3 linked regions of the Sus scrofa genome follow. The protein of the gene in region 1 interacts with the protein of each later gene in a biochemical or structural test. Links are inferred from orthologs where the notes say so. Each region holds a gene or a part of one and is shown in the gene's direction. Other genes may lie near its edges.

What was found. The genes of interacting proteins can lie anywhere in the genome.
Region 2: of the proteins of XIAP (region 1) and MAP3K2, one has a biochemical effect on the other in vitro, tested with the Homo sapiens proteins (2 studies listed by BioGRID, with this or other methods). The link is inferred for Sus scrofa from reciprocal best matches to the Homo sapiens genes XIAP and MAP3K2.
Region 3: the proteins of XIAP (region 1) and SEPT4 form a complex in vitro, tested with the Homo sapiens proteins (4 studies listed by BioGRID, with this or other methods). The link is inferred for Sus scrofa from reciprocal best matches to the Homo sapiens genes XIAP and SEPTIN4.

What each region holds. Positions count from the first base shown.
Region 1 is NC_010461.5:101,416,679-101,421,566, forward strand, and holds part of XIAP (E3 ubiquitin-protein ligase XIAP), read left to right. Parts: intron 1-1,613; coding exon of another isoform or gene 1,614-1,645; coding exon 1,646-2,519; intron 2,520-3,620; coding exon 3,621-3,720; intron 3,721-4,888.
Region 2 is NC_010457.5:25,166,494-25,171,381, forward strand, and holds part of MAP3K2 (mitogen-activated protein kinase kinase kinase 2), read left to right. Parts: intron 1-1,503; coding exon 1,504-1,633; intron 1,634-4,888. UniProt on the Homo sapiens protein: Component of a protein kinase signal transduction cascade. Regulates the JNK and ERK5 pathways by phosphorylating and activating MAP2K5 and MAP2K7. Plays a role in caveolae kiss-and-run dynamics.
Region 3 is NC_010454.4:34,774,365-34,779,252, reverse strand, and holds part of SEPT4 (septin-4), read left to right. Parts: intron 1-437; coding exon 438-524; intron 525-1,021; coding exon 1,022-1,145; intron 1,146-4,618; coding exon 4,619-4,753; intron 4,754-4,866; coding exon 4,867-4,888. UniProt on the Homo sapiens protein: Filament-forming cytoskeletal GTPase. Pro-apoptotic protein involved in LGR5-positive intestinal stem cell and Paneth cell expansion in the intestines, via its interaction with XIAP. May also play a role in the regulation of cell fate in the intestine.

The sequences.
Region 1 (4,888 bases):
GTCTGCAACCTACAGCACAGCTCACATAAAACAGAATTTTAACATCAGAATATAAGACTTTACACATAACCCTATTTTATCTCATTAGCCTGTAAGGCAGCCTTGGCTTCATTGAATCTTGGTTTTTGTCATCTAGTTTATGCTGATTCAACAAAGATCTTGAAACTAGTGTTGGAATGTTTTCAGACATCTGGAAAACAATAACCAAAAGTCATGGAGAGTGTCATCTAAAAATTGTTGTATGAGCTATAAGTCAGCTCTTGAGGTATATTGAATTAATAACATTATAAATTGACAAGTCCAGGAAAGACTGAAGTCCATGCCAGCCTACAAACCAGAAGCTTTGTGTTGAACTTTAATTCCAAGAGAGATGATATTCCCAGACATATTGTGCCAACATAATGCCAAAAGAGCTGCTAATTCTTCCCAAGAAATAAGTTAATATGCATATGAAGTAGAGATGGAGTCATTATGACTGTTCTTTTATTTTGCATTTGACAAGCAGGTATTGAGCACAGTGTCAGGAACAGTGCGAGATTCTGGAGAACCAGGTTTGCTTGGGGCAACCCTGATTTGCACCTCTTGTCCCAGTGTAATTATTAGTAGCATCATTTTTCACTTTCAAAAGCATCCAGGTTTGGAGGATAAATTATCTGGCCACTCTTCTCATAACCCAGCCAGTTCCTTTTAGTATTTTATCTCGGTTAGATATTATACAGCTGTAATTTGGCAGCTCTGATGAGGCTTTCTTCCATTTGAACAGATTGTTCCTTGACTGTGGGCAGTTGATTGCAAAAATAATAGCAATTAAAGGTCTACATGTACTTAATATTTTTCCTGAGCCACCCCCTAGAGGACACTATTATATACATTTGAGATGATCCATTTCCAACAAAAATGGAATCTTTGTTTATGCCTGAAAGTCATAAATATTTGATACTCTTAAAGAACACATTGGAACCAATATTATGAATAAAACTTATCTTTTGCTCATCAGTAAGGAAATATTGAAAATCATTAACATTCTGAACATCCTTTTTTATTGTAAAAACTGAACTTTTATGCCTTGAATATACAATAATCCATTATAACAATTATGCATTGACTTCAAGAATATGCATATTTTATGCTTCTTTTGTGTTTTTCCTAACTGATGGTTTTAATGGTTAATAATTTTAATAAATTCTGTATCATATAGTTTCCATATTTATGTAAAGTAAGCACTTAAATAATTCTACTTGCTTAAATATTACTTTCCTATGAAAGAGAAAACAAGAAGTCTCTTATGGCACATCGGGTTAGGGATTTGGCATTGTCACTGCGGCAGCTCAGGTCACTGCTGTGGCATGGGTTTGATTCCTGGTTGGGGGAACTTCCACACGGCACAGGTGCAGCCAAAAATAAATAAGTAAAAATAAAAAAAATGATAGTTCTTAATTTATGACCTCAATCATGTGGTAATACAGAATTCTAGTATTTATAATTAGAATGTTTCTTAGAGATTGTATGATTACTTTTATGTCATCAGTGGGTAATTTGTTAGCTCCTAATATCAAAAGTGTATTACCTGTGTTTCACATTTTGGATTTCCTAATGTAATGTTCTCTTTTTAGAAAAGGTGGACAAGTCCTATTTTCAAGAGAAGATGACTTTTAACAGTTTTGAAGGATCTAAATCTTGTGTACCTACAGACATCAATAAGGATGAAGAATTTGTAGAAGAGTTTAATAGACTAAAAACTTTTGCTAATTTTCCAAGTAGTAGTCCTGTTTCAGCATCAACGCTAGCACGAGCTGGTTTTCTATATACTGGTGAAGGAGACACAGTGCGGTGCTTTAGTTGTCATGCGGCAGTAGATAGATGGCAATATGGAGACTCAGCAGTTGGAAGACACAGGAAAGTATCCCCAAATTGCAGATTTATCAATGGCTTTTATTTGGAAAATAGTGCTGTGCAACCTACAAATCCTGGTGTCCAAAATGGTCAGTACAAAGCTGAAAACTATCTGGGAAACAGAAATCATTTTGTTTTAGAAAGGCCATCTGAGACTCATGCAGACTATCTTTTGAGAACTGGACAGGTTGTAGACTTATCAGACACCATATACCCGAGGAACCCTGCCATGTGTAGTGAAGAAGCTAGATTAAAGTCGTTTCAGAACTGGCCAGACTATGCTCACTTAACCCCTAGAGAGTTAGCTAGTGCTGGACTCTACTACACAGGTATTGATGATCAGGTGCAGTGCTTTTGTTGTGGCGGGAAACTGAAAAATTGGGAACCATGTGATCGTGCATGGTCAGAACACAGGCGGCACTTTCCTAATTGCTTTTTTGTTTTGGGCCGGAATGTTAATATTCGAAGTGAATCTGATGTGAGTTCTGATAGGAATTTCCCAAATTCGACAAATCTTCCAAGAAATCCAGCCATGGCAGATTATGAAGCACGGATCATTACATTTGGGACGTGGATATATTCAGTTAACAAGGAGCAGCTTGCAAGAGCTGGATTTTATGCTTTAGGTAAACTTTATTATTAAACTGAGCTAATAAATAACTTGCCAACTATCCCAGGGCTCCTAAAAAATAATAGATGCCATTTGCCCACTAAACTATTAAATATTTAGGTGTAGGCTAGTATAGTTATATATATTAGTATTATTCTTTGAACCCTTATGTTGAATCTGTAATATAAGCACTGAATTATATTGTGCACCTTCTCTTTGTGTTGAATATATATGTATCACATGCATTTTCTCTACACCTCACAACAACTCTGTAAGAAGAGTTAATAGAGAATTTACTTTGGCTGATGTTAAAATTGGTATCTGCCTTTTGTACATAGACAGTATATTTGAAAGCTGCCCTGCATGATATCTTATTGCTTACCAGGAGCACTTTTCAAATGGACTACTGTAGACATCTCAGTATGGAAAGAAGGGCCGTTAGTGTGAGGGCTTCCAGGAATATTCAGAAAAAGTATATCAATGTATATCTGACCCATTTACTTTGGGTGCCAAAATACAAAATATCAATTAGTAGTTTATTTACTTAGTATCATATAGCAAATCTTGCAAGTTTGTTTAGTGCCATATTGCTATAACCTTAAAGAAACTTACTTTGTAATTTCATTATACTGAACTTTATTGTTAAAGTTTCAGTTTGAAAAAAAAGTAAGTGTAGGAGTTCCTTTGTGGCACAGCAGATTAAGGATCTTGGCATTGTCACTGCAGTGACCCGGATCACTGCTATGACTTGGATTTGATCCCTGGCCTGGAAATTTCCACATGCCACAGAGCAAGGCCAAAAGAAAAACAAAAATTAAGTGTAGAATTGATGGCCCCAAATGACATGTTAAAACCAATTGTAGTTTTTCACATAAAGATTAGGAAATTTTGTTTTTGTCTTCTGTAAAATACCTCAAATTCAATCAGTGAATTTAATGTGTATTTCCTCCTCAAATGAGCTTATCTGTTACTTAGATGTGAATTCAGATATCTTCTTTTAAGCTCTGAGGTTTTCATGTGATTTAGAAATGCTTAATTTTATAGTATTTAAAGGGGTGTTTTGTGTAAGCTTGTAATTACACAAATACATTTATTTTTTACTTTTATGTTTTCTTAGGTGAAGGTGATAAAGTAAAGTGCTTTCACTGTGGAGGAGGGCTAACAGATTGGAAGCCCAGTGAAGACCCTTGGGAACAGCATGCGAAGTGGTATCCAGGGTAAGGTATTTAAATGTTCATTCAGTGACAGGCAAGTTAGACTGTATGCAGTGAGAAAATTTGAATAACTTTTCACCTCAACTATTTTTGCCTTCACCAGTGGATCAAAATTTGCACCAGGTTTATAAAAATGGGGTCACCTACTTTATATATTTAAAAAAAAATAAAAACCTAAGCTTTCTCTGGTGACCAAAACATTATGTATCATAAATATGACATTCAGATGATTCCTTTTCTTTTTTCTTTTTTTTTTTTTTTTTGTCTTTTGAGGGCCGCACTTGCAGCATATGGGGGTTCCCAGGCTAGGGGTCCAATCGGAGCTACAGCTGCCAACCTACGCCAGAGCCACAGCAATGCCAGATCAGAGCCTCATCTGAAACCTACACCACAGCTCAGGGCAACACCGGATCCTTAACCCCCTGAGCGAGGCCAGGGATTGAACCCACAACCTTATGGTTCCTAGTTGGATTCGCTTCTGCTGCACCACGACAGGAGCTCCAGATGATTCCATTTCTAAACACCAAATTAGGAATGTCTGCTTTTGTTGTTGTAGGAAGTGGGCTCTTTAATGATGGGGACAAGAGAACCCATGTTGCAGAGAACTTATCACACCCCTTTAGCAAATACTGCTGAATCTCACTGATTCTAAGACACATAATTGTTCACAGTTTAAATTTGTAAAATCTGGACACATGTGATGGTGGGTGATAATGTAATTGGCAGTGGTGGTACATCATATAATCATGCTGTTTACAGTTAGTAGCATCTTAAAATGATGACATTCTAAATGTCTCTTTGTCATCTTGCCTCTTTAAAATAAAGTACACACAAAAAAAACCAAAATAAATAAAATAAAGTACACAGATGCGTACAGTGATATGAATTTTTGGCCTGCAAAAGAGTACAACTTGAAATTTCAAAATGGTAACTTGAAAATAAATCTTAACCTTTAGCAACCTTAAAAGGAAAGACTGAAAGCCTAAAAAATTCCTTTAAAATGTACAATTAGTTAATCTAAATAAAACTCAGTAAGATTAATGATTTAAGGAATTCCCTTGTGGCTCAGTAGGTTAAGGATCCAGCGTCGCTGCTGTGGCTCTGGTTACAGCTGTTGTGCAAGTTTGATCCCTGGCCCAGGAACTTCTGCATGCCCCCCCAAAAAAAGATT
Region 2 (4,888 bases), on another chromosome or scaffold:
CCCATTTTTTCTCCTGAGAAGTTTGTAAATATCAATAAAACAGTGCTTTAAAAAAACAGAACAAAACAAATAAAATTAAAGTAGGTCATACAGGAGTTCCCGTTGTGGCGCTGTGGTTAACAAATCCGACTAGGAACCATGAGGTTGCGGGTTCGATCCCTGGCCTTGCTCAGTGGGTTAAGGATCTGGTGTTGCCATGAGCTATGGTGTAGGTCGTAGACGCGGCTGGGATCCCTCGTTGCTGTGGCTCTTGCATAGGCCGGCGGCTACAGCTCCAATTCGACCCCTAGCCTGGGAACCTCCATATGCCGAGGGAGCGGCCCAAGAAAGGGCAAAAAGACAACCCCCTCCAAAAAAAATAAAGTAGGTCATACATAGAAGAGCAAGTAGGGCAAAAAAGAGTAAGACAAAAGTACTGGAGATTTTTTTAAATATGTTGCAAGGAAGAGAAGATAGAGCTGACGTAGTCATAGAAACAACAGAGTATCAGTCAAAAAATAATAATTTTTGGCCATGCCCATAGTATGTGGAATTTCAGGGATTGAAACCAGGCCACAGCAGTGACAATTCCAGATTCTTAACCCACTGAGCCACCAGGAAGCTCCCAAAAAATAATTTTAAAGGCTTCCTTCAGCTCTACTCTTCTGCAGTTCTAGTCAGGGATTATCGTAGGGTTTTATGTTAAATTAATGCATGTCATTTCTTTACTAAGAGTTCCTGTGCTGTCCAGCTAAAGCCTCCCAGTCATGAACTAGGATTCCCCAAATTAAAATGTCTAATTATAAAATAAATCATGAGAGTGTAACATATACCATAATGAATATAATAAAAAATACTGTAATAAATTTGTACAGAGGTAGGAGGTTATTAGACTCATCATGGTGATAATTGTGTAATGTATTTAAATGTCATATGACTGGTATACACCTGAAACTGACATGACATTGTACGTCAACTAAACTTCAATTAAAAATAAATAAAATAGGGAGTTCCCGTCATGGCTCAGTGGCTAGTGAATCCGACTAGGAGCCATGAGGTTACTGTTCGATCCCTGGCCTTGCTCAGTGGGTTAAGTGTCCGGCATTGCTCTGAGCTGTGGTGTAGGTTGCAGACGCAGCTCGGATCCCGTGTGGCTGTGGCTGTGGCTGTCGCTGGCAGCTACAGCTCCGATTAAACCCCTAGCCAGGAAACCTCCATATTCCACAGGTGCAGCCCTAGAAAAGGCAAAAAGACAAAAATAAGTAAATAAATAAATAAATAAATAAAATAGCTCCTACTGTGGTGTGGTGGGTTAAGGGCCCGGCATTATCTCTGTGGCAGCACAGGTTCAGTCCCCAGCCCGGCACAGTGGGTTACAGATCCAACATTGCCCAGCTGTGGCATAGGTTTATTTAGTCAGTGAGAGTAATAAATAAATAAACACACACAAGTCTTTAAAAATAAAAATTTACTGGTAGTTTTCATTTCAAACCATACTATAGTTTTTTGTTTTCTTTTATCCAGGGTTCAATTAAGGACCAATTAAAAGCATATGGAGCTCTTACTGAGAACGTGACTAGGAAATACACCCGTCAGATTCTGGAGGGTGTCCATTATTTGCACAGTAATATGATTGTTCATAGAGATATAAAAGGTAAGTAATGAACTATTTTTTTAAATGAGCTATTTTTAAAAAAATATACAGCATTCTCTATCTCTTTTTTTAAAATGGCTGCATCCACAGCATATGGAAATTCTTGGGCCAGGGATTATATCTGAGCCACAGCTGTGCCCTACACCACAGCTATGACTACACCAGATACTTAACCCACTGTGCCAGGTTGGGGATCAAATCCATAAAGACAATACTGGATCCTTGAGCTGCTGTAGGGAACTCCAGCAGCTCACTCTCTCTTTTTTTTTTTTTTTTTTTTTTTTTTTTTTTTGCTTTTTCAGTGCTGCACCTGTAGCATATGGGAGTTCTCAGGCTAGGGGTTGAATTGTAGCTGCAGCTGCCAGCCTACACCACAGCCATAGCAATGCGGGATCCAAGCCACGTGTGCAATTGATACCACGGCTCACGGCAGTGCAGGATCCTTAACACACTGAGCAAGGCTAGGGATCAAACTTGTGTCCTCATGGATCCTAGTCGGCTTTGTTAAACTCTGAGCCATGAAGGGAACTCCCTCTTTTTTTTTTTTTTAATGAAACATGGTTAAGAAATTGGACATTTGAATTAATACATCTACCTTTAAAATACTGTAGGAAGACAGTTCCAACTAGTCCTGATGATCAGGGTTCCACAGGAGGGAAACTACCCTGTGGGGTTCACAGGTTTAGTAAAGTTCAAATGATTATAAAAAAAGAGACATGTTTTCATCCAGAGAGCACAGGTATTAGCATATAATGCTTAAGAATAGGGCCCCTGAGGAGCTCCAGCTGTGGCGCAGTGGGATTGGAGGCATCTTGGGAGCTCTGGGTCTGGCACAGTGGGTTAAGGATCTGGCGTTTCTGTAGCTGTGGTTTGGGTCGCAGCTGTGACTCAGACCTGGCCCGAGAGCTCCATATGCCACAGGGCAGCCAAAAATGGGGAGAAAAAAAAAGTAGGGTCTCTGATACCACATAGCCTGGTTTAAATTCAGGCTTTATCTCTCCCTAACTGTGAGACATCTTCTGTGCCTCAGTTCCTCATTTTTAAGGAGGGAAATAACAGTGTACAGCTCAGAGGATTCCTATAAGAATTAAATGAGTTGGAGTTCCTGTTGTGGCTCAGCAGGTTAAGGACTTCTTGACATAGTGTCTGTGATAATGTGGGTTAAATCCCTGGTCTCGCTCAGTGGGTTAAGGATCTGGCCTTGCCGCAGGCTGTGACATAGGTTGCAGATGAGGCTCTGTGGCTGTGTCTGTGGTGTAGGCTGGCAGCTGCAACTCCAATTTAACCCTTAGCCCAGGAATTTCCATATACCGCAGGTACAGCCTTAAAAAAAAAAAAATTAAATGAGTTAATGCATATAGTATGCTTAATACCATGCCTGGTATCTAGAAAGCACTCAAAAGTTAGTTACAATCATGATGTACTTTATGTTGAGAGCATTTTTAAAGCTGTGGGATGGATATCATTACCTAAGGAGAGAATAAAAAGAGAGCCCAAGACTGAGCTTTGATGAATTCCAGCTCAGTTAAGCTCACTTTTTAAAACTCAGCTGTTTTCATGGATCAAACATAAAGTGACTGCATGAAGCAAGACAAAATTGATTGGTAGAGATGTGTGAATTTAAGAGTCTTAAAACTCTGTTCTCCAAAGCATACCGGGAGGCTTCATTCTGTAAAAACCAGGTTGTGACCCAAATGTTATGATTACTTTATTTGGGAGTTCCCATCATGGCGCAGCAATTAAACCCATGAGAACTTGGGTTTGATTCCTGGCCTCGCTCAGTGGGTTAAGGATCTGGCATTGCCGTGAGCTGTGGTGTATGTTGCACATGCAGCTCGGATCCTGTGTTGCTGTGGCGTAGGCTGGCGGCTGCAGCTCCGATTGGAACCCCTGGCCTGGGAACCTCCACATGCCATGGATGTGGCCCTAAAAAGACGAAAAAAAAAAAAAATCACTTTATTCAATCAGTTGTTGAGAATAATGAACAAATACACACACACAATAAATTTAAAACTTCTTTCCATTAGCCTTCCTGGGAACTCTTAGGAGCTATCATGAATTTACTCCCTTTTGGTGGTGTGTCACATCCTGAACAAGGCCATATTCAGGCTAAAGAGAACATTCCCAGCCAGTTTCAGTCATAGAGTAGAAACTGCTGCAGAATGCCTGGGCAAGACCCCATGTATAGTGGAGCTGACCGGTGAGTCTTGGAGATGACCACATCACTCATGATCTGAAAAAAAGAGGAGCCTATCTTTCACCTCAAGATCCACCAATTCTTACCAGTTGTCAAGTATAAAACCCAGTAGTTTAAAGAACCATGTAAGGTGGTGACAATTTTGTAATGTATAGAAATACTGAATCACTGTGTTGTGTACCTGGAACTTACATGGTAAAACAAAGAAAAATACATAGGGAAATGATTTTTATTATGAATTAGTCTGTTAGGAATAATCTTTATTCAAACAGTTACTCCCCAACTGGGTTTTTTCACCTTGCCAGTGTGAGGAGGTTGGAAGCAAGGTGATTTATAAACAGTACAGGGCAAGATATATGATAAAAGTGTAAGATATAAAATTAGATGTGCAGTATGACCTCAAGTATTAAAGTATGGCCTAGGAGAAAAATTTCCACATGATTAACAGTGGTTATTTCCAAGTGGCAGGATTAGTGATAATTACTTTTCTCCTGGATACTTTTTACTTTTTCTGTATTTCCTAACTTTTTATGATGAGCAGTTTTTAAATGGCAAAGGAAAAGGAAAACTAGCTGATCACTTTTGTTTAAACCCATGAGTTCATAATGAAACCTAGGATAAAAATTAATTGATCATTTTTGCTAGGGAGCCTACTCATTATTTCATAATAGGGTCCTTTTACTCTGCTTTTATGAGCTGTACTACTGAGGACTAAATAGTGGATGAAAGGAGACTTATCTTTATAAAAATATCTTAGCTAACAAATGACAGATTAATAGATAGAAACACTGAACATTAACATCTGCTGACATCACAGAGATAGTCTCGCGTTACATACCTCCTATTCATAAACTATAACATCATCTACAAAATAGTTTTGCCGAAAAACAAAAATATCTTGAACCTGAATTTCATCAAGCCTCTAGGTACAGCTACCAAATTGTAGAAATATAGAATATATACATAGAATAGATAAACATGTTAAATTTCCTCTTGGGATGGATTCAGCAAAATCTAGACCATAAGAAAGCTATAGGCAGACAACTTAGATTTTTCAT
Region 3 (4,888 bases), on another chromosome or scaffold:
GGCTGGGCAGCAGGTGTTTCAGGCAGGGATTGTTTCCATGTGGGGAGGGCTTGTGGGCAGGGAAGGAGAGAGCAGCAGGTGGCTGTGCCTTTTTGCAAAACCGCCTGGAGCCACGGGTGACCAAAAGTATGTATAACGTTGGCAGGGAGGGGGTGGTGACGGGGTAAAGAACACTTGTCAGTTTTCTAGTATTTTCTAGTATTGCCTTTTTCTGTGTGACCCTGGGCAGTCTTTTATCCTCTCTGGGCCTCATTCAAATGAGAAGGCTGGACAAGCTCTTCTCTCTGTTTTCTCCCAGCTCTGTTGTGGTTTGGTTATTCTCTTCCCAATTATGTAAGCAACTAGCCCTCCCCCGCCGCCATGCACACCTTGGTCCAGTGGGATTGCCTCTTGGTTATAGATCTGATTTGGTGCCTCTGTCCTCTCTCTCCTGTCAGGAGAGTCTGGCCTGGGGAAATCCACTCTCATCAACAGCCTCTTCCTCACTGATCTATACCGGGACCGGAAACTCCTGAGTGCTGAAGGTGAGGAAAAGAGAGGAGCATGAAGACAGGCGAGCAGAGCTGACTTGGGAACTCACTCCAGAGTCTGGGGGCTGGAGCCTTCCCCAGCATGCAGGAAACCATGGCTTCCTAGGGAGACTGACAGCATCTCTCCGTAGGCCTGCCTAGCCTGGCAGCCCACCAGCCAGCTCCCTAAAGATTTGGGTGCTGAAGCAGGGCAGGGACCAGAATCCTGCTCTCTGAGTGAGTCTCTGACCCCCAAAGGATTCCAGGAATCCAAGAAAAGAGCTGGGAGCAGAGAAGAGGCTGGGGCCAGAGCCAACAGCCACCGGCATTTCCTGTGTTGGGAAATGTGCTCCTCGTTGGTTCCCAGAGAACAGGCCCCCAGGCAGCCTGGGGGCGGGGAGGGGGCAGTGTGGGTGAGACAGTCCGGGTAGCAGAGCTGGCTGCAGTGGGCGGTGTGTCCTGGCTGGGCAGGTCCTTGCCCCTTCCCTGGCCTCAGTTTTGTCCTTCTCCAGAACGGATCATGCAAACGGTGGAGATCACTAAGCATGCAGTGGACATAGAGGAGAAGGGCGTGAAGCTGCGGCTCACCATTGTGGACACACCAGGTTTTGGGGATGCCGTTAACAACACAGAGTGGTATGTCTGACCAAGCCCAGCCCCTGTCCCTACCCCCCACCCATCCCGTAGACGCACACAGGGGCACGGACACATCCACTGTCAGGAAGAAGGGGTTTGCGACCTCGAACGTGCCACTGCCGCTTATGGACAGCTGCTCCTCTGTAAAGGGAGAGGGAGAGGATTGGAGGAGATGCTCTCTAGTGTTCCTTTAACTCTGACCTATAATTCCAGAAGGGGGATGGGGACACAGATAGGAAGGAGAAACCTCACAAAAGTAAACACAGGCGTTCCTGTTGTGGCTCAGTGGTAATGAACCCCACTAGGATCCATGAGGATGAGGGTTTGATCCCTGGTCTCACTCACTGGGTTAAGGATCCAGTGTTGCCGAGAGCTGTGGTGTAGGTCGCAGACGCGGCTTGGATCTGGCGTTGCTGTGGCTGTGGCGTAGGCTGGCAGCTGTAGTGCCAATGTGACACCCAGCCTAGCCTGGGAACTTCTGTATGCCCTGGGTGCAGCCCTAAAAAGCAAAAAGAAAAAAAAAAAAAAAGAAAAATACAGCAAACATATGTGAAAACATATATGGAGTTCCTGTCGTGGCGCAGTGGTTAATGAATCCGACTAGGAACCATGAGGTTGCAGGTTCGGTCCCTGGCCTTGCTCAGTGGGTTAACGATCTGGCGTTGCCATGAGCTGGGGTGTAGGTTGCAGACGCGGCTCAGATCCCGCGTTGCTGTGGCTCTGGCGTAGGCTGGCGGCTACAGCTCCAATTCGACCCCTAGCCTGGGAACCTCCATATGCCACGGGAGCGGCCCAAAGAAATAGCAAAAAGACAAAAAAAACCAAAAAACAAAACAAAACAAAAAAACAACCAAAAAACATATAGCACAGGGCGTGATGTTTAGTAAGTGCTCAATAATTGTCACCCTCCCTCCTTCGTTCCTTTCACCAGCAATATTTTAGGTGCTATTGCAAGTTATTAAAGGAGTGAGAATGCATGGGGGGTGGTGAAGGGCAGAAGAGGCAAAGGGAAAGCACAGATGGAAGTTTGTTTGTTCCAGGCATCCTGGAAGCAACCTGCTTGTAGAAAAGGTAGCTTTGCCACCTGCTGCCCAAGCATCCCTTTTTTTCGGGAATCAGAAGGATGCTTAGATGGTGGTCAGACCTGAGTGAGTAGATGAAGACACAAATGGATGTAAAGACTAGAGAAAAGGTGGCGCCTTTGATGAGGAAGTTAGGCAGGGTGGTGCTAAGGGTCCTAGACTGAGAGTTCAGATCTTGGTTCGGTATTTAGTAACCCCCTGATCTTGAGCAAATGACCACGGTCCCATTTCTTCAACTGAAAAATTCTGGCCTTACCACCTCACCCAGTTGATCTGAAAATCAACCCAGAAAGATGCATGTGAATGTGTGCTGAAAACTGTAAAGTGGGATTCCCATTGTGGCTCAGCAGGTTAAGAATCTGACCAGTATCCATGAAGATGCAGGTTCTGGCCTTGCTCAGTGGGTTAAAGGATCTGGTGTGGCTGTGGCTGTGGCGTAGGCTGGCAGCTGCAGCTCCAGTTCAACCCCTAGCCTGGGAACCTCCACATGCCGTGGTCATGGCCTTAAAAAGCCAAAAACAAACAAACAAACAAACAAACAAAAACAAAAAACCAAAAAACCTGTAAAGGGCAGAGCTCTCTTGTGTTGTAGCTGGTTAAGGATCCAGAATTGTCACTGCAGTGGCTCAGGTGGCTGCTGTAGTGCAGGTTTGATCCCTGGCCTAGGAACTTCCATATGCTGTAGACGTGGCCAAAAAAACAAACAAACAAACAAACAAAAAAAACCTCCTGAAACTGTAAAGGGCTGCGTACATTACACCCATGAACTTTTTTTTTTTTTTTTGCTTTTTTAGGGCCACACTCATGGCATATGGAAGTTCCCAGGCTAGGGGTCAAATCAGAGCTGCAGCTGCTGGCCTACACCACAACCACAGCAACGTAGGATCTGAGCCGTATCTGTGACCTACACCGCAGCTCACGGCAATGGCGGATCCTTCACCCACTGAGCCAGGCCAGGGATCAAACCTGCATCCTTATGGATACTAGTAAGGTTCATGACCGCTGAGCCGCAATGGGAACTCCTACACTCATGAACTTTGAGATGATATTTGCAAGACGAGTGCAAAATAAAAGTGTGGGACCCTTGTTCAAAATGATTAAGAATTTCAAGATGGTCACAGCAGAGAATAAACCGGGTGTGGTGGGGCCCCTGTGTGACTTCACGGGTCCCACGCGCTGTACTGGACGATGGCCTCACAGACTGGTCATACCCTTACAGACCTTTCTGTGCTCTGCACGCCCCTAACATGCTTTACCATTACAACATGTGACTTGTGGCTCAGCACACTGCTTCATCTTCAACTGCATGATCTAACCCTTGAGGGGAAATCTGTTTCTTACATTCTTGCCACAGTCCTGTACTGTGGTCTCCATAAATATTCCTGCTGGATTGAGGTGGCCTCCGTGTCATCATCACCTTTCCTGATCTAGGACTATGTCTCAGCAAGCTGGGCTTGCCCTGAAACTTGAGCCCTGACCAGCCCCTGGTTCCTGCTTTAGCAAGTATCATGCCCTCCTTGAATCAATCTACTTACCTGCTCTTACCTCCTGTAATAGTAATGCTTTCACTTGCCTGGCACCTCACGGTTTGCAGTGCACCTCCACATGTACTCATTTAGTAAACCAGCAGGAACTTACTATTATTATTGTTATTATTTTTTGCTTTTTAGGGCCGCACCGGCAGCATATGGAAGTTCCCAGGCTAGGGCTTGAATTGGAGCTACAGCTGCTGGCCTACACCACAGCCACAGCAACTTGGGATTCGAGCTGTGTCTGAGACCTACACCACAGCTCATGGCAACGCTGGATCCTTAACCCACTGGGCGAGGTCAGGGATTAAACCCGTGTCCTCGTGGATACTAGTCGGGTTTATTACCACTGAGCCACAAAGGGAACTCCTATATTGTGTATATATAAACTCTGTGTGTGGTGAAGGGAAGGGGGAGCAGTGTCCATTGGAGTGGTCACAGGAGCCGTTGTGGAAGAGATGGTTCTTGGATATGGCTCTGAAGGATGGAGTGGGTTGGGAGAGGTGGAGGAGAGGATGGAACCACCCAAACAAAGGCTCTGAGGCTGAACTTTGAACCTGCCCTGGCCTCCCGTTGGTGTTTCCCTGCTGGCACCTGGCTGGTCTCAATGCTTTGTTTGGTCACCTGGGCTCTCTCCCTCTCATCAGACTAGTATTTGATGACCCCCTGCCTGTGTGCTCAGTCTGATTTTCTATGAGGATGCATGTCCCAGCCAGGTACCTCCCTGAAGATGTAGTAAAGCAAGTCCGGGAATAGCCAAGGCTTGAAAAGACTGCTCAGGGTGTGGGCTCCTCTGCAATCCTAGAGCTCACTAGGCAGCCCCCACTCCCACAGTTTTTCTGCTTGTCTGTCCCTGCCCCAGCTGGAAGCCTGTGGCAGAATACATCGACCAGCAGTTTGAGCAGTATTTCCGAGATGAAAGTGGCCTGAACCGCAAGAACATCCAAGACAACAGGGTGCACTGCTGCCTGTACTTCATCTCGCCCTTCGGCCACGGGTATGGTCCGAGCCTGAGGCTCCTGACACCACCGGGTGCTGCCAAGGGAACAGGCCAAGAGCACCAGGGGCAGGGCTGCCACTAGCAGGTGGTCACAGATTCCTGTTCCCCAGGCTCCGGCCACTGGATGTTGAA